4 linked regions of the Tamandua tetradactyla genome follow. The protein of the gene in region 4 interacts with the protein of the main gene of each other region in a pairwise test. Links are inferred from orthologs where the notes say so. Each region holds a gene or a part of one and is shown on either strand. Other genes may lie near its edges.

Region 1 (7,647 bases), on a different chromosome or scaffold from region 4:
GCTGAGAGATCAAGGAATTTATGTCACTGATACAACTGCAAGATATTCACTGCAGCATGGTTAGGCAGCAAAGGGCTGGAAACCACCTAAATATTCTTTTAATGTATCATGATGGATCCACACCACAGGACTACGGTATATTGTGAGCCAGCCCTGTTTGTCCTGACCTTAAACAAACTGCAGAATCTCCCAACTGCAAATAAACAAGGTGTGGAAAAGTGGGCCTAGTATGCTACCATTTCTGTAAAAGAAAAAAAAAGGCATGACTGTCTATAGTGGTAAATGCGCAGATCACCTCTCTGCCTAGAGACAGTGTAGGGAGAAGGAGGCCTGAGAACGTGGGCATATGTGCAGAAATGGGAGAGTCTATGGCATATGAAGGGATAAAGAGAGCAAGGAAAGTTGGGTGCAAAGTGAGAACTCAATAAAATAATATGATGGTGGAGAGAGTTGGCCAATTTGTACTCAGGAAGATTAGACAGGGCAGAGAATTTCTTTTCCTCGTTTTTCTCAGGGACAGTTGCAGGTAGTAGGACGTGCTTGGTCTGAGTCTGTGTTTCCCAACTGGGTGCCTCAGAGGTTGTGAGAGTAGGGAGAAGGGTTAATTGGCTCATAGCAAGTACTTGATAAAGAGGGTGGAAAGGAAAATGGAAAGAAGGAAGAAGGAAGGGAGGGAGGAAGGAAGGCAGGAAGGCAGGCTGGCTGGCTCCTTGGCTCCTTGAAGATGGAGTGGGTGGGAACAGTAACTTTAGTTGCAGTGTTCCCTGATCTCCAGCACCAGGAGCCACCCTCTCCTAAGGGCACAGACACCATTTCTACCTGTAAACAAACTCACGACCAAAACCATCAATTTATTGGTGAAATAGATTCTTACTCTTCAGAGCTCCTGCGAAAATAACAGATTCCTGAGAATAAAATACAGAGGAGTGCAGGTGTGCATGTGTTTAGAATGCTCTTAAAGTAGCCCCTGGAGGAAAGCCCAAAGTTTCTGCTTCCCTTTCTCCTGATAACTGAAAGCTGAAGTTTAGGTAAAGGGGAGTCCAAATGAGAGAATAATGCAGCTCTTCCTTTTTCCAGTGTTCTCTGCATACAACAACATTGTGAGTTGTTCAATGGAAAACCACACCTATTAAGTACATTATGTGATTATTTTAAAATAACATTCTCTCCTTTTATTTTCTGGTTGTGAAAATAATGCATGAGGAGTGACATCATCAAGATGAAAGTAATGCATGTTTTTTATAGAAAATACAGACATACTAGAATTAAAAAAATGAAAATTTCCCATAATATAATTAATATTTTCATGTACATTTTTCAGTTTCCTTCCTATGTACGTATGTGTGTGAATTAATGTGAGTATAACCGGCATAATACTTTAATCTCTTTTTTCACTTAATATATCATAAGTATTTTCCCAAGTCATTAAACACTCTTTAAAAAAGTTTTTTAAAGTGCTAAATAGTTATTTAACCAGCTTCCTGTTCTAATAGTTCTCTCTAATTAAGGAAGCATTGTGATGAAACCCCCTATAAATAAATTCCTGTGCTCATCTGCTTAATTTTATAGAATAAATTTCCAGAGATGGAAAAGTTGGATCACATGATACGTTTTAAACTTTAGGATTCATACTGCCTTTCAGAAAGATGACATTAATTTATATGCCCAAACGACGCTGTATATTTGTCAACCCTACCTGTATACTATATTTTTAAGAATCTTTGACAAAGATGCATTTCACTGTTTTTTAAACTTTTAATGTTTTTATTAATGAGTGTGAGCATTTTAAAAATTGTATTTATACATTTGAATTTCTTCTATCACACCATGCCTGTTCTTGTCCTCTATCCATTTCTGCATTTAGGGTGTTAGTGTTTTATTTATTGACTTACAAGAGGTCTATATAGTAAGACCAATCTTTTGTCATATTTGTTGTAAATGCTTTCTTCAATTTGTCATTTCTGCCTATTTTGGTGATGATTTTTGATATATCAGAATCTCACATACTTATTAAAATGTATCTACCAATCTTTGCCTTTGGTTTCTCCAATGCCTTAGTACTTGGGCCTTTCCCTCTGAAATAAGTCACCTAAGTTTTCTTCTAATTCTCTTCTGATCAATTTTGTAGCTCTTTGGGTTCTTACATTTATTTTGTGATTGTAAATAAACCCTAGTTTTGCTGTTTTCCCCCCAAATTAACTAATTTCTCAGCCTAATTTAGTGAAGGATTTATCCTTTTCCCCACCAAAATGAAATGCCATCTTTATCATATGGTCAATTTTTAAATATGTGTGTATGTTTCTAGACTTTCAACTATCCCACTGATACTTGTCCATCATTCTTGTGTCAACACCACAGTGTATTAACTATCATAGCTTTGCAATGTTTTAAGATTTGGTAATATAGGTCTATCACATTTTTAAAATATAAATTTTTTAGCTTCTCACAGTTATTCTCCATATGAATGTTAGAAAAATTGTCAACTGTCCCTTCCTCCATTTAGCATTAGAATTTTATTAAATAGAATAAATTGGGTAAAGTTGGTATGTTTATCCTCTTCTATTTCTTCAGGTCTTCAAGTCTATTATATTTCAAACTTGATAATTTCTTCATTTAGAGCCTGTACTAATTTATTAAGTTCATTTCTAGGTTACACTTTACAAACGTCCATGCCTTTTTACACTGACTTGTTTTCAAGCTCCAGGTGAACTTCATCACAGCTGATATATATACATATATATAATATATAATATCCCCACCGCCCCCCCGCTGGGTCTTTCCTTGCAGGAAAGCGTCAGAACTAAAAACTCTTTCGTGAACAGCTGTTTCACTGAGTGCTCATTACATAACCTGGCATGACGATAATCCCTTTAAACCTATTTATCTCAAAAGTACAATACCTCCAGTAAGTTGGTGCAATTCTTATTCCCATTTTATAAATGAACAATTCTAGGCTCAGATTTGAGGAACTTGTCAAAATTCCCCAACTGGTAGGTGGGAAAAGTTGGATTTGGTCCCAAGTCTGTGAATTTCCAAAAGTATCAAACACACACACACACACACACACACACACACACACACACACACACACACACACACACACACTCAAGTCAGCCAAGAGGACCGACCATGCTGTGCCATCAAATCGGCTCCAGAAGAGAGTCCCTTTTCGAAATCAATAAACTGAATAAAAAAGACAATGCTTTCCATCCGCCGGATTCTCCAAAAAGAAGTGGGCTTCCTCCAGTTTTAGCGTGGAACAGGAGCACAATAAATACCAGTTAACTAGTAGTGGGCATCCCTTAGAATTACGGACTCGTGGATAATCAAAAGTGACTTTTCTGGGACTTTCTTGAGAATGGTCCGTTTGTTAATCTATCTCCCTTTCTTGGGACAGGGTGTTTTCCTTAAAAAAACGGTTAGAGAAAAACAGGTGAAGCCGACGGAAGGTTGGCTAGGGCGCTGCACGCGGGGGCAGAACTTTCTGGGTGGACCTGCTCGCGCGTTTCTCGCGTGGTGCGCGCAGGTGACGCCTTGCGAAGCCCGGCGTGGGGCTGTCCAGGAGGCCACCGGGCGTCTGGGTGAAGGTGCGAGGAAGCTTTCCACCCAGGCGAGGGTGGGAGGCGGGCAGGAAGCCGAGCCAGCGCTGGCGAAAGACACACTCTAATTCCCAGCCCCCCGCCCCTCGGGGCGCGGGGCACCGGCGACGCATGCGCGAAGCCCGGCCCCCAATTCCCCCAGCGCGGGAGGGAGGCCCCGGGCGGCCGGGAGGCTGCGAGCCGCGGCGGGAGTCGAGCGCACGCCGGGGCGCGGCGTCTGCCGGGGCCAGCCGGGCTGCGGAGGCGGCAGCTAGAGTGTGGAGCGCCCGGGTCGGGGGCCCAGCCGCGTGCAGGCGCCCGGGAGCACAGCCGGCTCAGTCCTGGGAGGGCCCTGGCGCCCGCAGCCCCCCACGCCGGGAGAGGGATGTGTGAGTTTCGACCCCCGCTCGAGGGCAGGATGTGGGAGCAGGACAAAGGCTAGGCGGCGGGGGAGGAGCCCTAGCCTAGGGCGAGCTGGCAGAGTCGGCAACTTTCCCTGCAACTTTTGCAAAAGGGAAAAATCAAAATTCTGCAAGTTGTTGCAAAAGTCCAGATCGCCTCGGGTCCAGCGAGCAGAGGGAGGGGGCACCTCAGCCTTCCCGGGACGGGAGGCGACCGCCAGCTCCTCCGAGCCAGGCAGGAGGGGGCGCCCGTCCGGGTCCCCGGTACCCGGCGAGCGAGGATGGGGATGCTGGGGGTCGGAGCCGGGGGTCGCGCTCGGGCCACTGAAGTTGCTGGTGTCTATGCAGGGTGCACCCTGAGATCCCGGTAGCCCCGGACCGCGGCGCTGCGTCCGCGATGATGGATGAGCCGTGGTGGGAAGGACGCGTCGCCTCGGATGTCCACTGCACCCTGCGCGAGAAGGTCAGTCCCTCCCCGCCCATGTCTTTCACTAGACTGGGTATTTACAGTTCCTTTCACCCTCGACTCTGTGCCCTCACGTCGCCTCGCATGGGAACTGGGAACTGCGCGCCTTTCTTTTCTCCTGCCCTTGCCTTCTCTCGAAGTACCTAGGAGACAGTGTGGACGCTGCCAACCTGGGGGAGAAACTGGAGATCAGAGAGCTTGGAGTTGGTTTTTCTGTTTAGGCGCCCAGAGCTCCCGGACAGCTAAAGGGAGAAAGCCACTGCACCGCTAAGGCAGGAATTCCCATTGTATTGTCCCCCGAGATTATTTTAAACGGTACATGAATGGACTTTAAAAAAAACGATCACCGTGCGGGAGACCCAGATTCGATTCTCGGACCATGCACATCCCCCCCCAAAAAAAATCAAAACAGTTATGTATTTTAATGTACAATTAGAGTATATATATCTAGCAAGTTCTGCGTGGGATAGTGATGCAGATTTTCCGTTTACCCTAATGCCACAGTGTTTCCCTTTAAAATAAATGTAAGTAAAATTAATGACTCATTATAAAGAAATATTACGTAAATAGTAGCACAGGGAATACAATTGTGTTAAATATATATATATATAAGTTGAGACTGAATAATTGTAGTTTAAGAAACACCAGCCTAATTGAAAGAGAGGCTACAAAATTGGGAGACTGAATGGAGAAAACAAAAATTCCCCTGCCAGTTTGCCTCCTGTGGCAGAAGGTGGGGGTAGCTGAAATGTGATCCCTGCATCCCCCTCCCCTGGGAAACAGAAGTGCTGGTGGGCATTGGCAATATGGAAAAGTCCAGGTGGGTTGGAAGCCACGCCTGTGCATTGCCCTTCCTGCCCCTGGGCTGAGGCTGGGAAGGGTGGTTTGGGGACCAGATGTGAAGTAGGGGATGGGCGTGCCTCGGTCCCTACACAGGTCCCACATCGAGCCCATTTGTACCAGTTGTTTATGGGTGCTCTGTTGAAAAAGCAACCAGGTACTCAGAGATTTTTCCTTCATTAGAGACTGACTGTCTTCCAACCAAATCAGTGCTTTTTTTCTCTTATCCTGTCTAGTGGTGCCTATCCAGGCTGTGGCTTCTCTCTGCTTCCTTTGTTCTTCTCCCAAAGCAGAATGGCCCAGGTGCAACACACTCATTCTAGGTATCTGTAACAGAAACCCAGGTCTTGGTTGTTCTGTTAAAGATTGGGGACAGTGGGGTTGTGGGGGTGATAGCCTGGCAGTGTGATAGACCTGGCATGTCTTGGTCCTTTTCGGGGGGTGGTAGCTGAAAGGAGTTAGTGAGGGCTGTCATGGAAACTAGAAATTGGGCTTCCTTGTTTATCTTAGGTGCTAGCAGTTGTCATGTCTGCTTAGAGCTTGGGAGGAATGACTGGCCTGATTTGCCCCTTTCTAGTGGGATGGATTTCCAAGAGCTGTATAAACTCAACCACTTTCGTTGAGAATCCCCAACCTTTTACATATAGGCAAGGAACTTTCAACTCTCCTCCACACTCTCAAAGGAGCAGGGAAGAAACCTTCCCATTAATTGTGCTTTCCCCGTGCCTCATTAGTTGACTGTTGGGTGTCTCCTCTGAGGGAAGATAGGTATTTCCTGGTTTTACAGGTAGATAGAAAACTGACTCTGGGGTGATGGGCTCTTGACTTGAAGCTCTTTGAGTAGGGCAAATCCCAACATCCTTTGGCTCAATGTCATACCTCCCCAGTAAAGTGTTCATTCTTTTTTTTTCCTTACCTTTATGTTCCCTCCCTCTTCAGAGAAGATGCTTCTCAAGAATATTTGGCCTCATGGACAGTTTGCAGGGAGCAGTGAAGATTGAAGACTAGGAACCCAGTGTTCATTCTACCCTCACCTTCCATGAGGAATGAGGGCTGGCCCTTAGTTTTTGTCAAACAGGGTAAATTTTAATCAAACGTTTACTCTAATCATAAATTCCTAACACTGTAGGACAACTTTATGAGTGCCTGGCACACAGCAGACCCTCACTCTTCATCGACGGTTGCCAGAAGAACACAAAGTATGTGTATATACGTGTTCTCATTTAATTGTCATTATAGACTCCTGAGCAGTTACCCTCATTTGACTGGTGCAGAAGGGGAGGGCCTGAGAAGTTGAGGTTTGGCTAATGTTGTAGAGATCATGAGAGCCCCATTTTGTCAAATTTGAGATTCCAGTAAGCATCCTACTACAATATATAAAATGTGACTCAGCAGAAAGAACAAGTCTGGGTGCCGTTTGCAAACTAGTGGTGGTGGTAGGACCTTGACCTCTGAAGCTGGCCTCCCTTGTCCATTCTTCCCACAACAGCCTGAAATTAGATTGTCACTTCCCTGCTTAAAACCCTCTTGCGCTTAGAATAATATCCTACTCCTTAGCTCTGTGTGGAATACCCCATATAGTCTGACCCTTGCCTGCTCTCGGACCTTGACTCCTGTCCCCTCCTGCGACCCTCATTATTCTCAAACCACGCTAACTTCCTTTCTGTTCCTGAACACATCAAGTCCCTTTGTATCTCGGCCTTTGCATTGGCTGGTCCCTCTATTTGAAATCTACGTTTCACAGTTTCTTGCATGATTGCCCCTCCGTGGTTGTCACTATTAAATCACCCTGCTTTGTTTGCTTTATAGCATTTACCAGTGTCTGAAATTATTTTTGGTTCATTTATAATCTTTCTCCCACACTAGAATGTATGTTCCATGAGAATAGAGCTGTTTGTCTTATTCAGTACTGAGGTCTCGCTGTCTAGAACAGAGCTTCCCTGGTAGGTGTGGATTAGGGAGAAGAAAGAAGAAATCAGTCTTTGGTAGCTTCCTCTTGTGTAAACCGGGAGGAGATGTTTTATATGAATATTCGGATTAAGGGAGAGACTATGAGAACTGTGCGGGACACATGGTAGTACGCGAGAGGGTTGTTTTCTCCCTTGTAGGACTGCTGAACTTGAAAGTAGCAGTCCGTGCATGCGGTGTGTGCTCAGGTCAAGGCCTGGGGTGTGTGACCACCCTTCAAAGGGTTCACAAATACAATAGCTCAACCTTACAAGAAAAGCATTGTTATCCCATGGGAGGGGTGATGGGGTTGAGGCCGAGAGAGCCAGCAGTTTGCCCAAATTTCCAGCTGAGGCTTAGGACCTTGGAGCAAGACCCCATTATAAGAACTTCCAACCAGTCAGTATAGTGCCAG
Region 2 (8,226 bases), on a different chromosome or scaffold from region 4:
GGCTGTATTCTTGGCACCGCCTCCCCCGCCCCGGCTGTGGTTGGCAGGAGGGACGGTGCTGACTCAGCCGGCCCGGCCTCCTCGGGCTCTGCCAGGGGCAGGAGGAGGGGGAGGCAAGTGTCCCGACTGCCTTCCCACCTCCTGTCCTATCAACCAGCCACGTGTTCCTGTGTCAAGAATGTCTGGCAGTCCTAAGAGGAGGGGGTCTGTCCTGGAGGATGAGAAGAACAGTTCCAAATAAGGACTTCTTCTGCATGCACGGTAGAAAGCACTCCCCCAAATATGTAGCTCAGGCACGCTAAGCATCTCTGTGGTACGGTTGAGGAAACTGAGGCCCATAGGACCCACTGCCCTCTGCCCTCCCAGTGAGTGGCTCCAGGTACCACAGTGGCCAGCAACAGCCTTAGAGCCAGACCTCCTGACTCTCCCTTCAGGGCTGACTCTCCTCTGGTCCTCCCTAGGGCAATGGAGAGAGCACGTAGATGTAGACTCATCCCAGCTCTCCTGCCTGCATCGCGTAACCCTTCAGCATGTTTCTTGGTTAAAGGTGTCCCTGCCCTCCCTTTCCCTCCTCCACCCATCACAGTACCTGTCCCCTGGAGTGGCATGGCAGAGCACTGGTTCCTGGAGCCAGGCGCAGAGCCTGAAAGCAGAGCATGTGTGGCAAACGTTTATGAAATCAATGAAAGAGATCCCTCTGTCCCTGCGCCTCGGTTTCCCTTCCTGAGGGATGGGGAGCGTTATCACCCCCTTGAAGGTGTGAAGAATCAAATGAGAATCAAACGAGATGGCCTGTGTGAATGCCTAGCCCATAGAGGGGGCTTTACCGGCACAATTCTCGCTGCTGCGGGTCGTTCGCAGCTCTCGGCCCAGAGGCAGGCGCGCCAGCAGCCCTCCACGTGCTGACGTGAATTTTCTAGGCGAGTCAAGACTGGGAATCCAGAACCCGAGGTGCTGTCAGTGAGACCCCCATGCCCACAGGCATGGGCTGGGCCTGGTTCTGGACCTCAGGTTCCCTACTCATGTCCTCTTGCTAATCCCCTCTAGAGTCGCACAGCCCTGGGAGGGAGGAGGGAAAAAAGGGGACCTGGGTGAGGATTGGGCACTGAGTCCAAAGCCCTCCCAGTCCTCCCCCCGCCCACCAACACCCCAGCAAGGCCCCCTCAGACCTGGGAGTAGCCTGCTGGGACCTCTGTGCTTTTTTTTTCATTTTGATATTTAGAGATGTTTGTGTTTTTTTTTTTTTTTAATATTTTTATTGAGATATTGTCACACGGCATATAGTCCATCCAAAGTATACAATCAGTGGCTTACAATATCATCACATATTGTGTACTCATCCGGATGATCATTTTTTGACCATGTGCATCACTCCAGGAAAAGAAATAAAAAGAAAACAGAAAAACTCATACATCCCTTACCCCTTACCCTTCCCTCTCATTGACCACTAATAGTTCAATCTACCCATTTTTTTTTTACCCCTTATCCCCCCCACCCATTGTTTTTGTTACTATTATTTTCATTTTCATTTTTATTTTTTCACTCAACTATCCATACCCTGGGCAAAGAAAACGTCAGCTACAATGTTTTCACAACCACACAGTCACACTATAAAAGCTATATTGTTATACAATCATCTTCAAGAATCAAGGCAACTGGAACACAGCTCAACAGTTTCAGGTACTTCCCTTCAGCCACTCCAGGACACCATGAACTAAAAAGGGGATATCTATATAATGCATAAGAATAATCTCCAGGATAACCTCTTGACTCTGTTCAAAATCTCTCAGCCACTGAAATTTTGTTTTGTCTCATTTCTCTCTTTCCCCTTTTGATCAAGGCTTTCTCAATCCCATGAAGCTTGGTCCTGGCTCATCTCCAGAAATCATGTCCCATGTTGCCAGGGAGATTTACACCCCTGAGAGTCATGTTTCCTGTAGGGGGAGGGCAGTGAGTTCACCTGCTGAGTTGTCTTAGAGAGAGAGGCCACATCTGAGCAACAAAAGAGGTTCTCTGGGGTAACCCTTAGGCCTAATTATAAATAAGCTTAGCTTCCCCTCTGCAGGAATAGGTTTCACAGGGGCGAACCCCAGGATCAAAGGCTCAGCCTTCTGAGTTGGTTGTCCCCACTGCCCTCACGAGAATATCAGGAATTCCCCAGATCTGGAAGTTTAATATTTCCTCCTTTCTCCCCGGTCCCCCCAGGGGGCCCTGCAAATATTTTTGTGTCCTCTGTCCAGATTACTCTGGGATGTATACAGACATCACACTGACCTGTACAAACCAACAAGATCTCACTCCTTATTCAGTATTCCATGTAATTAAGGTGTTTGAATAAACTGACCGTACAAGTTCAGTTAGATATTGTGCTACCAAAAATATAAAATTTGCACCAAATAAACATCTCTTCCTTTGGTCTCATACTGAGGCCTCTGTTCTTTTTGAACTTTATAATATAACATATGTACAAAGCAAAGAAAGAAAAAAGCGATAGTTTTCAAAGCACTCTTCGATAAGTAGTTACAGGACAGATCCCAGAGTTTGTCACAGGCTACCATACCATCATCTCAGATTTTTCCTTCTAGCTGCTCCAGAATATAGGAGGCTAGAAAGAATCAATATTTTTTTATCATCACAATTGTCTTTTCTTTTCTTCTTTGTGAAAAATAACATATATACAAAAAAGCAATAAATTTCAAAGCACAGCGCAACAGATCGAGTTGTAGTATAGATTTCAGAGTTTAGTATGGATTGCAATTCCACAGTTTTGTCTTTTACTTCTAGCTGCTCTAAGATACTGAAGACTAAATGAAATATCAGTTTAGCTTCCTGAGGACCCACCAAACTGCCTTCCACAGCGGTTGCACCATTTGGCATTCCCACCTACAGTGGATAAGTGTACCTCTTTCTCCACATCCTCTCCAGCACTTGCCGTTTTCTGTTTTATTGATAATGTCCATTCTGGTGGGTGTGAGATGATATTTCATTGTGCTTTGATTTGCATTTCCCTAATAGCCAGGGAAGTTGAGCATCTTTTCATGTGCCTTTTAGCCATTTGTATTTCCTCTTCTGAGAAGTGTCTATTCAAGACTTTTGCCCATTTTGTAATTGGGTTCTCTTTTTGTTGTTGAGTTTAGCAATCTCTTTAGATTTCTGGGTATTAGACCTTTATCTGATATATCATTTCCAAATACTGTCTCCCATTATGTAGGCTGTCTTTTTACTTTCTTGATGAAGTTCTTTGATGCACAAAAGTGTTTAATTTTGAGGAGTTCCCATTTATTATTTTCTTTCTTCAATGCTTGTGCTTTGAGTGTAAAGTGTAGGAAACCGCCTCCTATTACAAGATTGGTAAGATATTTCCCTGCATTTTCTTTTAAAATTTTTATGGTCTTAGATCTAATGTTTAGGTCTTTGATCCATTTTGAGTCAAGTTTTGTACAGAGTGTGAGATATGGATCCTCTTTCATTCTTTTGCATGTGGATATCCAGTTCTCTAGGCACCATTTATTGAAGAGACTGTTCTGTCCCAGGTGAGTTGGCTTGACTGCCTTATCAAAGAACAAATGTCCATAGATGAGAGGGTCTATATCTGAACACTCTATTCGATTCCATTGGTCGATATATCTATCTTTATGCCGGTCCCATGTTGGTTTGACCACTGTAGCTTCATAATATGCCTTAAAGTCAGGTAGTGTGAGACCTCCAACTTCATTTTTCTTTATCAGGATATTTTTAGCTATTTTGGGCACCCTACCCCTCCAGATAAATTGGTTATTGGTTTTTCTATTTCTGAAAAGTAAGTTTTGGGGATATTAATTGGTATTGCATTGAATCTGTAAATCAATTTAGGTAGAATTGACATCTTAATTATTTTTAGTCTTCCAATCCATAAACACAGTATGCCCTTCCATCTATTTAAGTCTTCTGTGATTTCTTTTGACAATTTATTGTAGTTTTCTTTGTACAGGTCTTTTGTATCTTTAGTTAAATTTATTCCTAAATATTTTATTCTTTTGGTTGCAATTATAAATGAAATTTTTTTCTTGATTTCCTCCTCAGATTGTTCATTACTAGTGTATAGAAACACTACAGATTTTTGAGTGTTCATCTTGTAACCTGCCACTTTGCTGTACTCATTTATTAGCTCTAGTAGTTTTGCTGTGGATTTTTTTGGGTTTTCGACATATAGTATCATATCATCTGCAAACAGTGAGAGTTTTACTTCTTCTTTTCCAATTTTGATGCCTTTTATTTCTTTTTCTTGTCTAATTGCACTGGCTAGAACTTCCAACACAATGCTAAATAACAGTGGTGATAGTGGACATCCTTGTCTTGTTCCTGATCTTAGGGAGAAAGTTTTTAGTTTTTCCCCATTGAGGATGATGTTAGCTGTGGACTTTTCATATATTCCCTTTATTATGTTGAGGAAGTTCCCTTCTATTCCTATCCTTTGAAGTGTTTTCAACAATAAAAGATGTTGAATTTTATCAAATGCCTTTTCTGCATCAATCGAGATGATCATGTGGTTTTTCTGCTTTGATTTGTTGATATGGTATATTCCATTAATTGATTTTCTTATGTTGAACCATCCTTGCATACCTGTGATGAATCCTATTGGTCATGGTGCATAATTTTTTTAATGTGCTGCTGGATTCGATTTGCAAGAATTTTGTTGAGGATTTTTGCATCTATATTCATTAGAGAGATTGGCCTATAGTTTTCTTTTCTTTTAATATCTTTGTCTGGCTTTGCTATGAGGGTGACATGGGCTTCATAGAATCAGTTAGGTAGTTTTTCCACCTCTTCAATTTTTTTGAAGAGTTTGAGCAGGATTGAAATATCAATTTAATGATTCAGCAATCATGTTCGTTTGTTAAGCCCTATCTTCTCTGTCTAACTCTGCCATCACCTTTGATCTTGCTATCCCACTCTTTAGGGGTATTTAGGCTATGGTCATTCTAACTTTTTCATATTGGAAGAGGCTGTCAGTAATATGGGATAGGAAGATGGAACTAGCTGATGTTCTGGAGAGGCTGGGCCCTCTAGGTTTCAGGACTTATCTGGTCCAGACACCCATCTGGAGGTTGTAGGTTTCTGGAAACTTACCCCAGTGCATGGAACCCTTGTGGAATCTTATATATTGCCCTCGGTGTTCTTTAGGATTGGCTGGAATGGTCCTGGTTGGGGGTTGGCAGGTTATGATAGGTAGCAAGCTCTAACTGAAGCTTGCATAAGAGCAACCTCCAGAGTAGCCTCTCAACTCTATTTGAACTCTCCCAGCCACTGATATTTTATTGGTTACACTTCTTTTCCCCCTTTTGGTCAAGATGGAATTGTTGATCTCACAGTGCCAGGGCCAGGCGTCTCCCTGGGAGTCATCTGTGATGCTTCTGTTCTCTAGGTGAGGCTGAGGCCAAGAGAAACTCAACTCCCGCGTCTCCCATGCTTTAGGCCCAGAGAAATCACTAAGGAATCAGGGTGGGCTTCCTGGACAGAGCAGCCTTCAGGGTGGACTCCAGGGTATAGAGGATTCAGCCAGGCATTCCTGGCTGGGGCACATGTGGCCTGAGCTCACCTTCCTCTACCACTGACTTGATGTATGACCCCAGGCACATCCCTGACCCTCTCTGGGCCAAAGCTTGCTTGGGAGTTAGATGGAGATATCAGTCCATGCCTGGCCTGAGGGTCCAGTTAGGTAATGGATACCAGTGTGCTTTGTGTTTTGTACAAGAAGGACCATTGTTCCAATCCTGGGAAAAACGTGCCCTCCCTACAAACTTTCAAAGTGGTGACGTCTTCTTCTTTGGTACTCTGGGGAAAAGTGATCCAGCAGGTCAGAGATGAGCTTCAGTTTTCCCACTTCTAAAATGGCGGCGATAATACCTTCTTCTGGGGCTTCTATGAGAATAAAAAAATGGGAGATGACATTACGTCCCTGATAGAGAGAAAGGGCTGGCTAGGGGCCAGTTTGTTATTGTGCAGGGAGCTGAGGAATTATCGAGACAACATAAACACGGTGTCTGTGGCTGAGGGTCCCCTGTGCTCAGCCTCGCTCCCTATGAAACAGCACTCAGGGTACCTGGCTTGGCTGTAGCAGCTCCAGGGGAGGCGGCTAAGCCCTTATTATGAAGCGCCATGAACACCTTTAGCATCTCATCTGGGAGCACAGATGGAGCAGGTGTGGGGGGCACCAGCAGAGGGACTGGGTCCCCCCTACCCTGTGACCTTGTCATGCCTGTGAGGGGCTCTGGGTAGTGCTTTCTAAGGGCCCCCCAGCTCTTCCACTCTGAGTCTCTCCCATGGGCTGATGGAGCCTGAGGGATGGGGGTGGGGAGGGGTTGCTCCAGGCCGGGCCTCATTTCATTTTTCTGCCTAATGAATGGCTCTAAGTGTACCCCAGCAAGGGCAGACGGAGCCTTAATTGCCCAGCTCTCTGCAGCCCAGAAAAATAAATCCAGCCTCTTAGGCTGCTCAGGAGCTGGGTGGGGGTGGGGATTCTAATCCCTTTCCCTGCTCAACCCTAATGCTACCCTACATCTCAAACTGTCCCACACTGCCCCCTCCCCCAAATCTCCTGGGGTCAGAGCCAAGGTAATCCATCCAGGACCTACGTGCCCCTCCTCTCCTGGAGCTCCCAGCACCCTTCCCATGGACCCTTCCTAAGCTATTCCTGTGTACCAATCTCCCCATTTGGAACTGGGTGAGGGAAGAGCAGGCTGCTGACTATTGAGAGGTTGGGGAACCCCCGGTCTGGCCTGCAGATGGGCAGGCTCGGCGGGTAGGCCCCCCTCAATCACTTTTTCCCAGTGTGGGGCTGATGGCACAGCCGAGCTGTGGGACCTCAAAGCACAGGCAGGACCACCGCGGTGATCCGGAGAGCAGGGCTCAGTGAGGTGTGAAGGAACTGCGCCAGGCAGAGCCAGCACCCAGGGGAAAGGGCTGCCATAAGATGGACAGGAAAACCAGAAAGCAAATCCACTTTCATACATATGATTATAGTGTGTGGTAAACGTGTGGATAGTGCTGCAAATATCAGGGAGGACAGCTGACTATCCATTTCTGTGAAAGTAAAATTAGATCCCTACCTCTTCCCTCAAACCCAGATAAATTCCAGATGGATTAAATGATTTTTTTTTTCTGTTTAGAAAGATAGCACACATTTATTGAGAAAACTCAAACAATTTGAAAAGGTGTAAGGTCAAAGAAATTCTGGTCTTAATGCTTTAGAGACAAGACTTTCAGACCTCTCCCCATGCACATGGACATCCACGTGGAGCTACAGATAGATGGATGGATTACAGATTAAACGTAAGCAGTGAAGCCAAGAAAATACCAGTCTAAAATATGAGTGAACTATTTCTTTCTTAAGTGCAATACCAAATGTAAAAAGTATAAAGGAAGGGGGATAGATTTGACTACATAAAAATTTAAACCTTTAATGCAAAAGCATCATTAAAAAATTAAAAATGATAAATTAAGCAAAAAAATAGACAATAGAGATGAAAATTCTCTATTGACATAGAGAGAGATTCTCTAATCCCATGAGAAGCCAGTTCCCCAAAACAAAAGCTGCCTTTCTCTGTGCCTATGAACCTGACACTCCCTCACTCCTCCTGGATTGTGGTGCCACAACCTTGTCATATTCCAGCCTCATTGCTGGTGTCTCCTCTAGGAAGTCCTCCAGGCCATCCCTCCCTGATAACTGGCCTTGTTAAGGATCTGGCCTCTGTGCTTCTAAGCAGTCTGTGCTTTCCTTCCTCACCACACTCATTCCCAGGATTGGCATTGCCTGCTTGCTGGTCATTTGTCTCTGGAGGCTGCTCCGCATGGAGTCCAGGCCTGGTTTATCTCCCAGTATCCAGGGCCCAGCAGGGCTGGCCCAGAGCAGGGCTCAGCACATGCGTATGCAATGACTGAGAGCGTGGTGGTGAGGATGGGGAGGGCAGAAGCTGGAAATCAGCTTGGGATGGAGTGTGAGGTAAGGGTCTAACTTCATTTGTTCCAAATGGATGGCTGGATTTTCCAACACCATCTGTTGAATTCCCCATCATTTCTGCACTAATTTAATATGCACTAATCGTGCGTCCATGTTTCAAGGCCATTCCTCTTCCAGTCTCTCCATTTGTTAACTGGACCTTTGGTGGATGAGGCGAGATGGCCTTTGAAGACTTCTCTGACCGAAATTCCGAGACGCCCATGCTGGCCTTTCCTGTGTCTCACAGT
Region 3 (8,438 bases), on a different chromosome or scaffold from region 4:
GGGAGAGTGCAGGAAAAGCACAAATGCAGATCTAACGATGGAGCTGATGGTACCCTCACCTGTGGGAAGGGGCAGCAGCTGGAGGTCCCTGAGACAGTGAGGAGGCAAGAGGAGCCACCAGAGCAGTGAGCATCAATCTGGCAGGGTGTGCCCATAGGCTTACTCTGTATCGTGAGCAGAGAGGACTGTTCGTCCTGGGAAGAAAGGGGAGAGGTTAATTTGAAAGACTGCCTGGCCTCCTCCTTTTCCAGGACGACCCTTTGGGAAAATCCAGGCTGCCAGCTTTTGCCTGGGTGTGGGGCACTCACCACTATGGGACTGCAGCAGCTGTAGCGGTCTCCTCCTGCAGCCAGGCAGCAGGCCACAGGGCAGAGCTTACCGTCAGGGCACTGTGTTCCAGCCACTAGCCCTGCCATCAAGGCCAACCAGCTCACCAGGGTCCACATTGTCTGTTCACAAAAATTGGCAACCGATTTAAGCCCATGCCGCTGTCGATTCTGAGCACTGATTCACTCACCCACAGGCCTGCCTGAACATCCCCAACAACTCACTGTCCAGGATGGAAGAAAGATATGGAGCCTGAGACTCAGTTCCCACCATGTCTCCTGGAGGAGCCCTCTTTCAACTCAAAGAACATCCCCAAGAAGTCATCTCCTGGCCATGTCAGTATGAATATACATATACTGTGTCCCCGACCCATGGCCTGACACCTGCGTCTCTGTGGGTGGTTCGCAATCACAATCACAGGTGCCAGTGAGGAAGGCATGTGGGGTTTGGCGGTCTGATCTCTGGGGACATGGGCCACTGGGGGGCGGAGGGGTGCAGTAACCCTGGGAGAGAGCAGCGCTGGAGGGAGGGAGCTCCCACCTTCCCTGAGGTAAAGCCAGGCCTCCCCTTCCCCAGCCAATGCCGTCCAGTGCCCGCTCGCCCCCCCCCCCCCCGTTGTGCTCACACCTGCTGTGCCTGTGTGGGAGTCATCACAGGGTGATGTGGGAAACCACAGTGTGGGGAAAGTTGTGAGAAAGGAAGTGTGGTGGCTTGTGGGGCCGGAGCTACCTTCTCCAGAGGCCAGCCACTGCCTGCCCACCACTGTCCCCTTCTTCCCACAGCCTGGGTCAACCTCCGAGACTTCTGTTCTCTGAGGGACCCCCCCGAACACCATCAGCGCCCTATCAGACTCCCCAGACATAACAATCCCCTGCCCTACCTCTCCCCAAACCTTCGGGGCCAAAACTCAGCCACAAGCACAGAGAGAGCATATGTGCCCTGCCAGGGCCTCCCTGCCCACCTGTCTGCCAATCTGAGGCAGCAGGAGGAACCGACCCTCATGTCCCTGAGGGGTATAGACTCTCACTTCCCAACAGCACTTCCCCCAAGCTCAGCAGCCCTGTGAGTTCAACAGGGCAGGCCTGGGGCTTGTTACTGGGCCTAGAGGAGCAGACAGGAAGGTGTGTTGAGCCTCTTGGTGGCCAGTGACAGCACTGGTCATTTTATTTCTTCTTTGCAACAACCACCCAAAGTAGTAATTATCTTTACTTCTCAAAGGCAGAAATGGAGCCTCAGAGATGTCAAGTAACACGCCCATGTCATATAACAAATCATGGTGATGACAGGCTTGATGGCTGCAGAACACACTGGACCTGGATTTATTTCATAAGTGGCACCCTGGCCAGTGCCCCAGAATAGACACGAACCCCCAGAAGGACAGAGCACCTGGGTCCAAGCAGAGGGAGGGGAACAAAAAGATTTTCTGGGCAGGTGAACCAGGCAGGGTGGAAACAGGGGGTACAATGTGGAAACTGCATTTGGGTCCTGGTCCTAGAATTGGCCACTAACCAACTGTGAGAGCTTCAAAAGTTGCTCCCTGTCCCTGGGCAGGGTCCCCATGGTCTATGTGTGGCAGCACTGAGTGGGAGGCAAAGGGAAGGAGGTTGGGAAATTCCACCAAGTCCCTTAAATCTTCTTTCCCCTTTACCTGGCTTTCCTCAGGTGTCCCTCTCTCAACTCAAAGAACATTCCCAAGAAGTCATCTCCTAGCCCGAAAAGGATGATGACGTCTAATCTTGGGCCCACTGTCCCTTTCTCTCTCTCCACCACCTAAGCATCTGCCTCTGACTCATCTGTTTCTTGGGTGGGTGTTGGTGGTGGGTCCAACCTCACCACACAGCAGGCTCTGCTCTTGGTTTAGGCCACAAGGGTGCCTGTCCACACCCATCTAGGCCTCCATGACTTATTTATGTATATTTTCCTTCCTGTGCATCCTGAGGTTAGGAAGTATGGTGTATGCTTCTATCGAAAATGTACTCATACATGCGTGCGCAAGCACACGCACACAGCGAGGCATGCAGGACCAAGAGGCTCAATTTCCCTCTGGTTCCTCTTCACCAGGTTCTGAGTGGCAGCCTTTCTCACCACACCCCACACTACCACAACAGAGAGGACAGAAGCTTCTTCCAGCCCCCAGTACCATCATCTTCCACTAGGAGGCACCCCCAACTCCGAGTACCGGGGCTGAGGGAGATTCCCTAAAGGTGGGCCAACCCAGCAGCAACTGAGCAGGAAAAAGTGACAGGAAGAGAGAGAAGCTAGCTCGTCCCGCCTCCCACATTCTCCCCCCACGACAGGAAGTAAGGAAGCGCCAGGCACCACCTCGGGGCTCTCTCGCCACTCCAGATCCCTTCCACCTTCGAGGAGGCCTGAGCTTCAATTCCCCCTCCCAACCCCTCCGAGCTCCGGGACGAGCGGCAGGCGCTTCCCCTCTCCAAGAAGTCGCGGGAACGCCCCCCGCCCCCCACCCCCACCCCCACCAGGAGAGGAAGGAGCCGGCACCTGCTAACAGGGGGTGAAGCTGGCTCAAGAACGGGCTGGTCGGTCTCTGCTTTCGGGGAAGGGGCTGCAGTTTCCGGGAATCCTGGAGAGGGGACCCTTCTAAGGGGGCGGGTCACTGTAGTGACAGCTCGCTCCCTCGCCTACAGAACTCCCTCCAGTGCAGGAGAACCCCCCCAGCAGTTTCTATAAGCGAGTCTCCTCTTGTCTCCCGTCTGAGACTCCAGAGGAGCCTCCAGCTCACCGTCCGCGGCCGGGCCCCCAGGCAGGAGCAAGCGAGGGGTCTGCGCGGGCGGCCTCCCACTCGGCCTCGGAGTCGGCGCTGCCTGAGCGGCCTCAGCCCCGCCGCTCTTGGACTTGCGGCGCCTCTGCCCCGCCCACCTCCGTCCCCATAGGCCAGGGGGCCGCTGCCGCGCTCCCATTGGTCACTTGTCGACGTGGAGGCGGGGCCAGACTGGAATGCTGTGTATCTTTCCTGCCCAAGTCACTCTCCTCCCTCCCACTTCCTCTCTCTCCGCACCCTTATTCTTAGGCATCATGTGATTGGAGAATCACATGACGCCCCAGCCCGCTGCCTGTGCCTGCCTTGCGGTCTCCGCCGGAGTTTGTCCCTCGCGCGGCCGCCGGTGTCAGGGGACATGACAGAGGGCGCGATCCCGGGTGTTCATAGGATGTGACGTGTGTGCAGCCCCTTTCTACCCTATTCTGTTCCACCCTGTTCCATCCAGCACACTTGGATTAAATGCTAGGCCGTCAGATCCAAAGGGGGGTTGAGGGAGGGTTGTAAGGACAAGAATAATACGCCCCTAGCCCCCGTCCCTTTCCCCGAGGTGCCCCCAGCCTGGGGAAGGGGAGACAGGCTCAGACTAAATTAAGGCAAGGTCGTGTGCCAGATGCTATAGATGTGTGTAGGGGGTGAGTAGTACCTGGGCTTGGGGGCGTGGATTAATCCCACCAGGGAACACCTTAAGCTGGCTCTGGGAGTACTGAGGGGCTGGAGAGTCGGCTGGAAAAAGGATGTTCGGAAAAGTATCAGAAAACTAGATGGGAAGGGCAGCCACGGGCAGGGATTGAATGCCACGTGCAGCGAAGTGAGCTTGAGTCGCTTCTGGCTACCTGCGCAGGCTGGGCTGGGGTCTGGGGCCGACCTAGTGGAAGCTGGTCTTCCTGTCTAGGAACTGACTGGCAGGTGAGGGGAGACAACTTACCACACACAGTGGATTGACAGGCCACAGGAGCCAGAATCGCCCCACGCCAAAAGGCCCGGGTGGGTGATGGGAGGCTGGCCAGCAGAGAGGAGCCATCCAGGGAGGGTGCTGGGACCTGGTCTCCCAGAGTGGGTGAAGGGCCGGCAAGCTGAGGAAATGACTTGAGCCGAAGGTGAGGCTGGGGTAGAGGGACAAATAACCAAACTCAGTAGTGATAGGAGTCTGGGTAGGGAAGGAGGGGCAGCACTGTGGAATTGGGTGGCGGTTCTTAGCCTGGAACTAGGAAGGATCCCAAAAGTGGACAAGGTTCCTGCTGATAATCTAGGACTATTCCATCCCCCTGCTTATGCTTTTACTGAACACACACACACACACACACATGACTTTATGAAATGTTAGACAAATTAATATATAAGTCCTTTAATCACAACTACACAGAACCAAAAAAATCCACAAAAATACAGGCAAATTAAAAAAAAACGACTGAAAATAGCATCACAAAGTCTAATTAAAGACATGGTTCACAACCAGGGGCAATTTTGTCCTCCAGAGACATAGGGCAATGTCTGGAGTCGTTTCGGGTTGTCTGTAACAATTGGGGAAGGAGATGCTACTGGTATTAGTGGGGAGGAGCCAGGGAACCTGCTAAACATCTCCCTATGCACAGAAGCACCCACACAGCACAGAACTTCAGGTCCAAAATGTCAGTGGCGTTGAGGTTGAGAGACCCTGCTCTGGAGGGTCCCAAACTTTCTCCATAAGAGCCCTAAAGTGTTCCACATATAGAGCATCTAATCTCTTGTTTCATGTGCTTTTAATAAACGTAGTTATCTGATTCCTCAGCAACAGCAAATTATCGATAGATTGGGGGCTGTGTGTGTGGAAGTTTCTAGGGGCAGTCACTTTGTGTTTGGCAAGGATTAAAAGCCTTAGAGGGAAAACTGCAAACCACAGATCGAACAACTTAAAAGCAAGCCTGCACAACCCAAAAGGCCTTCAGCACATCCCTTTTTTGTGGGCAACAGTGAGTGGTCAGAGGCATGAGACTGAGCATTCAGGAAAGTTTAAATCATAAGCAATTACTCTACTTAGACAGTAATTGCTTACTAAACAGCCTGATTACTCAACAGCCCTGCCCAAATGACTGAAAACAACCAACCCTTCCCTGGAGAGGGCAGTTGCCTCCAAGGACTGTGGAATTTCTACCACCTCCTTCCAGAAGACCTCCGGGGTTCTTAAACCTTGAATTCAAGAACCTCATCTGTCTTTTGCTTTTTTTTTTTAATTTCTTGTAATTTATTGTTAATCTCTATAGAGAGGCTCAGGATAAAGTCAGGCCTCATTTTGACAGTGAAGAAGAAAAAAGCCACGGCCAGCATGGGTACTGGATCCGGAGGTAGAGACAAATGATGGGAGTAAAGAACAATGACAGAGAAAAAGGGTAGTGAAATGACACAGGTGGTGGTGGTGTCAGTGGCTGACATTTCTGAAGGCTTGCTGTGTGCTAGGCAGAGTGCCGACAACGCTGCTCTTGGCATGCAAAGTAGTGCAAAAGCCTCCACTTCATTTTTGAAATCTGGGCGAGAATGAATGAGGTTTATTCACCAAAGAGGTTTAAGATGAGACTCTAACGGATCCCCTCTACTCTAATTGTCATGGTCAGATTCATGTGTCAACTTGGCCAGGTGGTGGTACCTGTATGATTGGTCAGGCAAGTGCTGGCCTGTCTGTTGCAATGAGAACATTTCATAGAAGTAAATCATGATCATGTCAGCTGCATCCACAGCTGATTCCATTTGTAATCAGCCAAAGGGGAGTGTCTTCTGCAATGAGTGATGCTTAATCTAATCACTGAAGCCTTTTAAGGAGGATTCAGAAGAGACAGGCTCTCTTCCTCCTCCAGTTGGTGAGCCTCTCCTGTGGAGTTCGTCCAGACCCTCCACTGGAATCGTCAGCTTCACAGCCTGCCCTGTGGATTTTGGACTCTGCATTCTCGCGGTCACGTGAGACACTTTTATAAATTTTATATTTGCGAGTATTCCCTGTTGATTCTGTTTCTCCAGAGAACCCCAACTAATACAATAATCATACCTCTTGCCCCCCCACCCCCCGAAACACATATATACCCTGAGTGCTCTCAGGGCTTCAGAGAGCCAGCCTGAAAGGAAGCCAGAGGTGGTCAAAGATCAGGAAAAGTTGACCCTAAATTAAATGTCCAAATGTAAAGACTCAGGGAAAACCATTCCAGATGTTTTACTGTTATAATTCAATACATTCCTATTTAATTGCAAACACCTCCAGAGAGTTATCACCTTACTCAGGAATTGAAGGGAAAGGTTAAAACTAGGGAGACGGAAGTTTGGCTAAAACAATTACATCTACCAGTTCACAGGTCCAGGTGAGGTGCCTTTTGCTTCTAGAAATGGGATATTATTTTGTGACCAGGAAGACTGAAGAGGCAAATTTCCAGGGTCACGAAGGGATTTAATGCCAAAGCTCCCGTCCCAGTGTGCCCCTTCCTGAGTCCTTCCTTTCTGATTCCCTTGCACCAACCAGCCCTTGTTGTTTTGGGGACTCCTTTCATTTTCCCAGCATAGCCTCGCCCCTGTCCAGCCTGGTGGTTTGATACCTTCCCCTCCAGGTTTGCTTACATGGAAATAACTCACTGCTCGAAGTCCCCACAGACAGGTTCTCCCCCATTGCCCATGCTGGCTGTCACCTCACCTCCTTCCCTGATGCCCTGGCCTTCAGCCTGACCCCAAGGTGGGCAGCGTGCCCCTGACCCTCCACTGGTCTCTTTGGGTGTCAGAGATGGACGGACAGTCGTGGAGCCTGGTCCCCATGTCTCTTGCTTTATGGGGATTTTTTTTTCAGCTTTTTTTTAAATTAATTTTTAAATTTTTAAAAAATGTACAACAAACAAATGCAAATATTCTTTTTTCTTTTTTTTTTTTTTTGGCATGGGCAGGCACCGGAAATCGAACCCAGGTCTCTGGTGTGGCAGGTGAGAAGTCTGCCTGATGAGCCACCATGGCCCGCCCAAACACAAATATTTTATGATCATTCTATTCTACATATATAATCAGTAATTCACAATATCATCACACAGTTGGATATTCATCATCGTGATCATTTCTTAGAACATTTGCATCAATTCAGAAAAAGAAATAAAAAGAAAACAGAAAAAAATTCATACATCCCATACCCCTTACCTCTCCCTTTCATTGATCACTAGCATTTCAATCTACTAAATTTATTTTAACGTTTGTTCCCCCTATTATTTATTTTTATTCCGTATGTTTTACTCGTCTGTTGATAAGGTAGATAAAAGGAGCATCAGACACAAGGTTTTCACAATCACACAGTCACATTGTGAAAGCTATATCATTATACAAACATCTTCAAGAAACATGACTACTGGAACACAGCGCTACATTTTCAGGCAGTTCCCTCCAGCCTCTCCACTACATCTTGACTAGCAAGGTGATATCTATTTAACATGTGAGAATAACCTCCAGATCCCCTTCGGGGAATGGTGGGAACGGGGAGAGATTCAACTTCCCCAGGTTGAATTCTTGATATTCTCACAAGCAGTGTGGACAACCAAAGCTATAGGCTGAGCCCCCAGCCTTGCGGTTTGTTCATATGAAACTTAACCCCACAAAGGACAGGTCAAGTCTACTTAAAATTTAGGCCTAAGAGTCACCCCCAAGAGAGCCTCTTTTGTTGCTCAGATGTGGCCTCTCTCTCCAGCCAACATAACAAGCAAACTCACCACCCTCCCCCTGTCTACATGGGACATGACTCCCAGGGGTGTGGACCTTCCTGGCAACGTGGGACAGAAATCCTAGAATGAGCTGAGACTCAGCATCAAGGGATTGAGAAAAACCCTAGATTGAGCTGAGACTCAGCATCAAGGGATTGAGAAAATCTTCTGGACCAAAAGGGGGAAGAGTGAAATGAGACAAAGTGTCAATGGCTGAGAGATTCCAAACAGAGTGGAGAGGTTATCCTGGAGGTTATTCTTACACATTAAGTAGATATTACCTTGTTATTCAAGATGTAGTGGAGAGGCTGGAGGGAACTGCCTGGAAATGTAGAGTTGTGTTCCAGTAGCCATGTTTCTTGAAGATGATTGTATAATGATATAACTTTCACAATGTGACTGTGTGATTGTGAAACCTTGTGTCTGATGCTCCTTTTATCTACCTTGTTAACAGATGAGTAGAACATATGGAATAAAAATAAATAATAGGGGGAACAAATGTTAAAATAAATCTAGTTTGAAATGTTAGTAATAAATGAAAGCGAGGGGTAAGGGTTATGGTATGTATAATCTTTTTCTGTTATTGTTTTATTTCTTTTTCTGTTGTCTTTTTATTTCTTTTTCTGAATTGATGCAAA
Region 4 (5,582 bases):
CAGATTTCCCAATATATGCTGGGAACAATGATAATACTTACTTTGTTTAGAAATGTAATAAGGAGACGTAAGTTAATACATTCGTGGTGGTTTGAAACTGTACGTACCACAGGACAACATGTTTTTAAAGTTAATCCATTCCTGTGGTTATGTACCCATTGTAAGTAGGATCTCTTGATGAGGCTGCTTCAGTTAAGATGTGTCCTACCTCATTCAGGATGGGTCTTAATCCTATTGCTGGGGTCCTTTATATAAACAGAATGAATACAGAAAGAAAGAAGAAAGCCACAGAAGCAAGAAGGTGAAGACAATGAAACCTATAAGAGAAGGGAGAGACTAGTAGATGCTGCCATGTGCCTTGACATGTGACACTGGACCAAAGGATCAAAGGCAGCTGATCTTTGGGAAGAGAGCATCACCTTGATAATGCTTTGATTTGGACATTTTTATCAGCCTCAAAACCACAAGCTAATTTCCATTGTTAAAAGTCAATCCATTTTATGACATCTGCTTTCACTAGCTTAGATAACTAAAGCAATATCTAAAACATTTAGAATAGTGTCTAGGGTATAATAAGGATGCAGTAAATAGTGGCTAATAAGAGCCCATAATATAGTTGGGAAAAATAAGACATATATAGAAAACAAAAGGTTTTCCTTGCAAGCCAAGGGGTGTGTGTGTGTGTGTGTGTGTGTGTGTGTGTGTGTGTGTGTATGCGTATTAGGCAAATCTAACTATAAATATTTAAAGGCTGGAGAAAAATTGGTAGGAATGGTCTGGAAGGAATTTGTAAAGAATAGGGCAATTTAACTGGGGTTGAATAATGGAAAATACTAAAGAATGATTTTTCCAAGTGAGAAGCCAATGACAAGTGAACAGATAATGTGAAACAAGGGTAATGTGGAGTAATTAATCGCATGGGCCAACAAGTCAAAAGGCAGAAAAGGGTCTCTACTGGGAAGCAAAGGAAGGACCACCAAGTGTTTGGGCAAATTCTCTTTGGCTAAATGAAAGTCAACAACATTTTTCTGTATAAGAGTCATCTGATGAAATTTATTTGAGGGGGTAATAATCTAAATCCAATGTTCAGGATAAATATAAGGCAATAGGTATAGGAGCCAATGATGCCAACAAGAAATCTATGTATTTAACAAAGATGCAAATCTCTGAACTTGAGTGATGGCAGTGAAAGGGAGGAAAATGGATGAAAAAACAAAATTAATTTTATGTAGCATTGAGGGAAAGAAACATTAAAATAGGTACTTCCTCATTTCGATCTGTGCTGTATTTTGGAGTAAGGCTGAATGTCACAAAATATTGCTTAATCTCAGCATTCTCTTCTTAAAATCCATTTTAGAATAAACATGCCTGCAGAACAAAATGTCAATAACTTTTCAGATGATTAAATCTTTCAGCATATGAATACAAATTTAGTTACTACAACTCCTGCCCAATAACCCTCAATTGAAATCACTGGGCTTTCATTTTTTCTGTCTTTAAAACTTGACCATAGCCTGATGTGTCCTTCCCTTCCCCAAACCACTGGTCATTTCTTCCCATTTTTCAAAATTAATTTCAAATGCTGAATTTTAGATAAAGCCAGTTTATTATGTCTGCTCTTCTCTGAATCTCACTAATAGAAAGTGGTATACAGTCATGCATTGTGTATTTGTTTTACCACACCTACAGGATTAGGTGTGTCTCAAGAGCAGAAGCCAATTGTATCCTGTTATCATCTCAGAATCTATCATAATGTTTTGCACATATTTGATACTCAATAAACATTTGGTGAATGAATGTATGAGATGCCTGTCATTTATTATCATATCCTTATTGTTGCAATTCTCTGAGTCTTCTTTACCTATAAGAGAGAAAAATTTGAAATTCTACCTCTAGAGTAAGAGAAGTAAAAATCCTTGGCTCCTTGAAGAAAAACTAACAGTGTAGGTATAAATGGGGGAGCAACACAGGATACCCAATTCCTCATAGTATACCTGGGTCCTTGCATCAGAAAAAGAGCCCCCAAACTGTAGTTTATAGAAGCCTTTTAAGGCTTCTCCTGATAAGGCTTCTAATGTGATGCCCAAATAAGCCCTTTCATTTTAGTGGCACAGCTACTCTTAAATAACACCAGTTCAATATATGTTACCTTAAGGTGTAGTTTACTTTTGGGACACCATATTTTCTAAAAATCTATAGATATTTTTATAGGATTACCTCTCAATACCAGAAAAAAATTAAATAGCCTCATGGTAGTACTCTAAAGCAATTGAACCCAAGGGCAGTTGTCTTCAGAATGGCAGACGGATGTCAAAGCAAGATAGCAATAACAAACAAAATATTCTTTTGTAGTGTCTGATGGTCACATTAACTTTTTAACTATTTCATTATATCTAATCCTCTAAATGTAATTTGAAAATTGATGTTAATATATTCATTTCCATACAAATGATATTGGTAGTGACTAGGGTTCAGAAGAATTATGAAAATTGTCCAGGACCTCACAGATAGTAGATGATCATATTAGTGCACTTTGCATAATACTATTTTGGAAAGAGGGAGGAAAATTGTTTGGGGGCTCAAGGAGCATTATTTTCAGATATTTTTCTTAATATCAATTGCCATACTTTCTAAATTCACGTTTTCTCATATAAACACTTGGAATAGTAAAAATACTGTTCAGAATTATGAGGATAAAGTGACATTACACCACAATGGTCTATCACATAGTAGGACTCAGCAAATGCTAGTTACCTTGCCTCTTTTTCGACACCCATTTATTGGATGGAGAAACATTAACATATATACTACATATACACTGCATATGCATACAGATCCCCATATGTGGGTGGACTAATGATACAGATGCTAGGTACTTACTTATAATATAGAATAGCAGACATAAAGCATCAACACACAGTTTTCATAAACATTCAGTTAAGATGGCTTTACCCACTACCAATGCCATTCAGTTGATGCATTCAGGATTTCACAAGACTCAGCCAGCCGTGAGCACCTCTTTTGAAATGAATTTCACAACTAATGTAAGGAATAAAACAGAATCTATGTCTTAATCATTATATCTTATTTTTTTTTTTTTTTTTAAAGGAAAGACAGAGAGAAGGAAGGAAGGATAGAAGGAAGGAAGGAAGGAAGAAAGGGAAACATCTTTTAAACATTTTCTTGTTTTATTGTATTCTGTTTCTCCGTTTTTGTTACATGGGCTGGGGCCGGGAATCGAACCGAGGTCCTCCGGCATAGCAGGCAAGCACTTTGCCCGCTGAGCCACCGCGGCCCGCCATTATATCTTATTTTGACCAAGAACGATAATTTCCAGTTAGAATATGAGTATACCATGAAATAAATAAGGCCTTTCATAGTCATGAAAAATGGCATGTCATCCAATTTTCTTTAAGCAGTCTGTTTATTTGCTTTTGTTCATAGTAGAATCCATAATTTTAACTAAGCCCAACTACTATCATCTATATTAAAGAATATCTCAAACAAAAACCAAGCTTCCATCTTAACTCAATTTATTTATTGAAGTGAATAAATGAGAACATTTTGTGATAAAAATGTGTGTGGGAAGCCACCTTCTACTAGTGTTCTCAAATAAAACAAAGCACAAATTTGGCACATAGAGTTTTTCCATATTATACAAGTTTTATACTCTTTCTACCCCAAGCCATATGGGTTATAGAATTAACCACTTTCTTTTTCAACTTACTTGCTTCCATGCTCCTTACTTTGGACAATTTCAGAAAAGTATAAAATTTCTCCTAAGAGTGAACAATTTGCCACAGATTCAGAGAAGTTTGCTACAAGAGTTAAAGACAATTCCAAGAGAGGAATTTAAGAATGTTTGTGCAATGGTGGTTATAACTGGAAAAAAATGCATGGGCTTCTAAAGTGTCTGTTTTGTTTGGATAATTTAAGGAGACATTCTATTAATATCCAGCCACATGGGTTTATATCCACATTTCATTGACAGAAGGCATTAAAAAGGACATCTAGTTTTATGTGGTCTCTACTTCCTGTGCTATAATAAAGAGTTCTGATGCAGCCTCATACAACAAGGAAGAAGGGAGTCTGTATACAGAACCACCACCTTCTAGCTATATATAAAGGATCAAGCCTAAGAGAGGTATAATCAAACTCAGGCACTTCTTTCCATTGAACCACAGCCTGCTCTTCATACCTCACGATGGCTTGCCACAACTACTGCTCTAGAAACTACAACATGGGATCATTCAGAAATTCTTGCCACATTCCTATTACCTCCTCCACTGCCCACTGTTCTACTAATGTGAGATCTGGAGATGTCCTCTGCTTACCCAGTAGCTGTCAAGGCAGTATCTGGCTCCTGGACAACTTCCAAGAGACATGTAGTGAACCAACCAAAGAAACCTACGGAGAACCAACCAGTTGCCAGCCAGGCATCTGTGTTACCAATAACCGTGGAACTTCTTGCTGCTCTTCCACTGCATACCATGTGCCCAGATCCTGCCAACGAACCAGCTTTCTTCCTACATCTTCCCACAACCCCAGTTCCTGCCTTCCGGTAACCTTTAGACCTCTGAACTACGTACCCAGCAGCTGTCATCCACTCAAACCTCTTCTCTACAGCTTCCAGCCCGTAAGCTGTGCTCCCAGTGGCTATAGACCTTTAAATTGTTTATCTAGCAGCTGCCGTCCCCTGAGCCTCCTCACCTATGGATGCCGACCCTTAGGTTGTTTGACCAGTGGTCCTCCACCACTTAGTGTTGTGTCCAGCAGCCTCAGACCTCTGCATCTTCTCTCCCATGGTTGTCAACCTTTGACTCATGTGGTCAGCACTTGTTGTCCATCCTACTGAGCGCTGGAACGGTAACTTCCTTGTTCCAGACAATAATCCTGCTGAGGAACCAGAACAAACATTCATACTTCATGGACTTTTTGCTTCTTTCCTAGTAGAAACTGCTTTTTCTTGGTTTTACTGTGTCCTATATAATACCAGTTGCTTCTTTCAGATTTTTAATTGTTTTCATTTCTTCATGACCTCAAATAATTGGTTTACAAGCTCTTCATTGCCACTCATGTGTGAGAAGAGTTTATTTGCCTTATATTGTAATAAAGTAGATTCAGTCAGAATTAAGAATCTGGTTCATCAATGTGTCTTTGTTGCTTTATCTGACAAAGAAATTACCAATCTCACCTGCTTGCAATCTGAATGCATAGGAGAGATGATATTCAAACCATATGTTCATACTTGGAAGAAGGGGTATAGCTTGGTGGCTTATTCCACAAGCTGCTCTCTAGACCTGTGATCCTAGATATTCTTAAGAAATGTACATACCTGCTGTTGGAAGTTATTATGAAAGGGCAAAATTAGGAATGATCTTCCTTACCCCTTTCTCTTACAGTGAACATACTTCTAGCAGAATGTTCCTTCTAGCTGCAAAACTGAACCATGTCTTGCCCCTTATTAAACCTTTGATGGCTTATCTATTTCCATAGTATAAAAATCTAAACCCCTTAGCATGTGGTCTGGTTTCTTTCATTGTCTTTATCCCTCTGCTCTCTCTGGCTTCATTCCCTTTGGT

Evidence for each region.
Region 1: the proteins of KRTAP26-1 (region 4) and CCNJL interact in binary tests that used the Homo sapiens proteins (3 or more experiments, as listed by UniProt). The two-hybrid records come from large-scale screens. The link is inferred for Tamandua tetradactyla from reciprocal best matches to the Homo sapiens genes KRTAP26-1 and CCNJL.
Region 2: the proteins of KRTAP26-1 (region 4) and GDPD5 interact in a two-hybrid assay, tested with the Homo sapiens proteins (2 studies listed by BioGRID and IntAct). The two-hybrid records come from large-scale screens. The link is inferred for Tamandua tetradactyla from reciprocal best matches to the Homo sapiens genes KRTAP26-1 and GDPD5.
Region 3: the proteins of KRTAP26-1 (region 4) and GRN interact in binary tests that used the Homo sapiens proteins (3 or more experiments, as listed by UniProt). The two-hybrid records come from large-scale screens. The link is inferred for Tamandua tetradactyla from reciprocal best matches to the Homo sapiens genes KRTAP26-1 and GRN.

What each region holds. Positions count from the first base shown.
Region 1 is NC_135346.1:41,538,349-41,545,995, reverse strand, and holds the start of CCNJL (cyclin-J-like protein), read left to right. Parts: upstream 1-4,274; 5' UTR 4,275-4,376; coding exon 4,377-4,442; intron 4,443-7,647.
Region 2 is NC_135334.1:70,096,059-70,104,284, forward strand, and holds the start of GDPD5 (glycerophosphodiester phosphodiesterase domain-containing protein 5), read left to right. Parts: upstream 1-5,168; 5' UTR 5,169-5,701; coding exon 5,702-5,836; intron 5,837-8,226. UniProt on the Homo sapiens protein: Glycerophosphodiester phosphodiesterase that promotes neurite formation and drives spinal motor neuron differentiation.
Region 3 is NC_135332.1:23,122,522-23,130,959, forward strand, and holds the start of GRN (progranulin), read right to left. Parts: upstream 3,184-8,438; 5' UTR 3,071-3,183; intron 2,912-3,070; 5' UTR 2,830-2,911; intron 786-2,829; exon of another isoform or gene 524-785; intron 450-523; 5' UTR 447-449; coding exon 309-446; intron 195-308; coding exon 60-194; intron 1-59. UniProt on the Homo sapiens protein: Secreted protein that acts as a key regulator of lysosomal function and as a growth factor involved in inflammation, wound healing and cell proliferation. Regulates protein trafficking to lysosomes, and also the activity of lysosomal enzymes.
Region 4 is NC_135336.1:89,679,280-89,684,861, reverse strand, and holds KRTAP26-1 (keratin-associated protein 26-1), read left to right. Parts: upstream 1-4,204; coding exon 4,205-4,855; downstream 4,856-5,582. UniProt on the Homo sapiens protein: In the hair cortex, hair keratin intermediate filaments are embedded in an interfilamentous matrix, consisting of hair keratin-associated proteins (KRTAP), which are essential for the formation of a rigid and resistant hair shaft through their extensive disulfide bond cross-linking with abundant cysteine residues of hair keratins.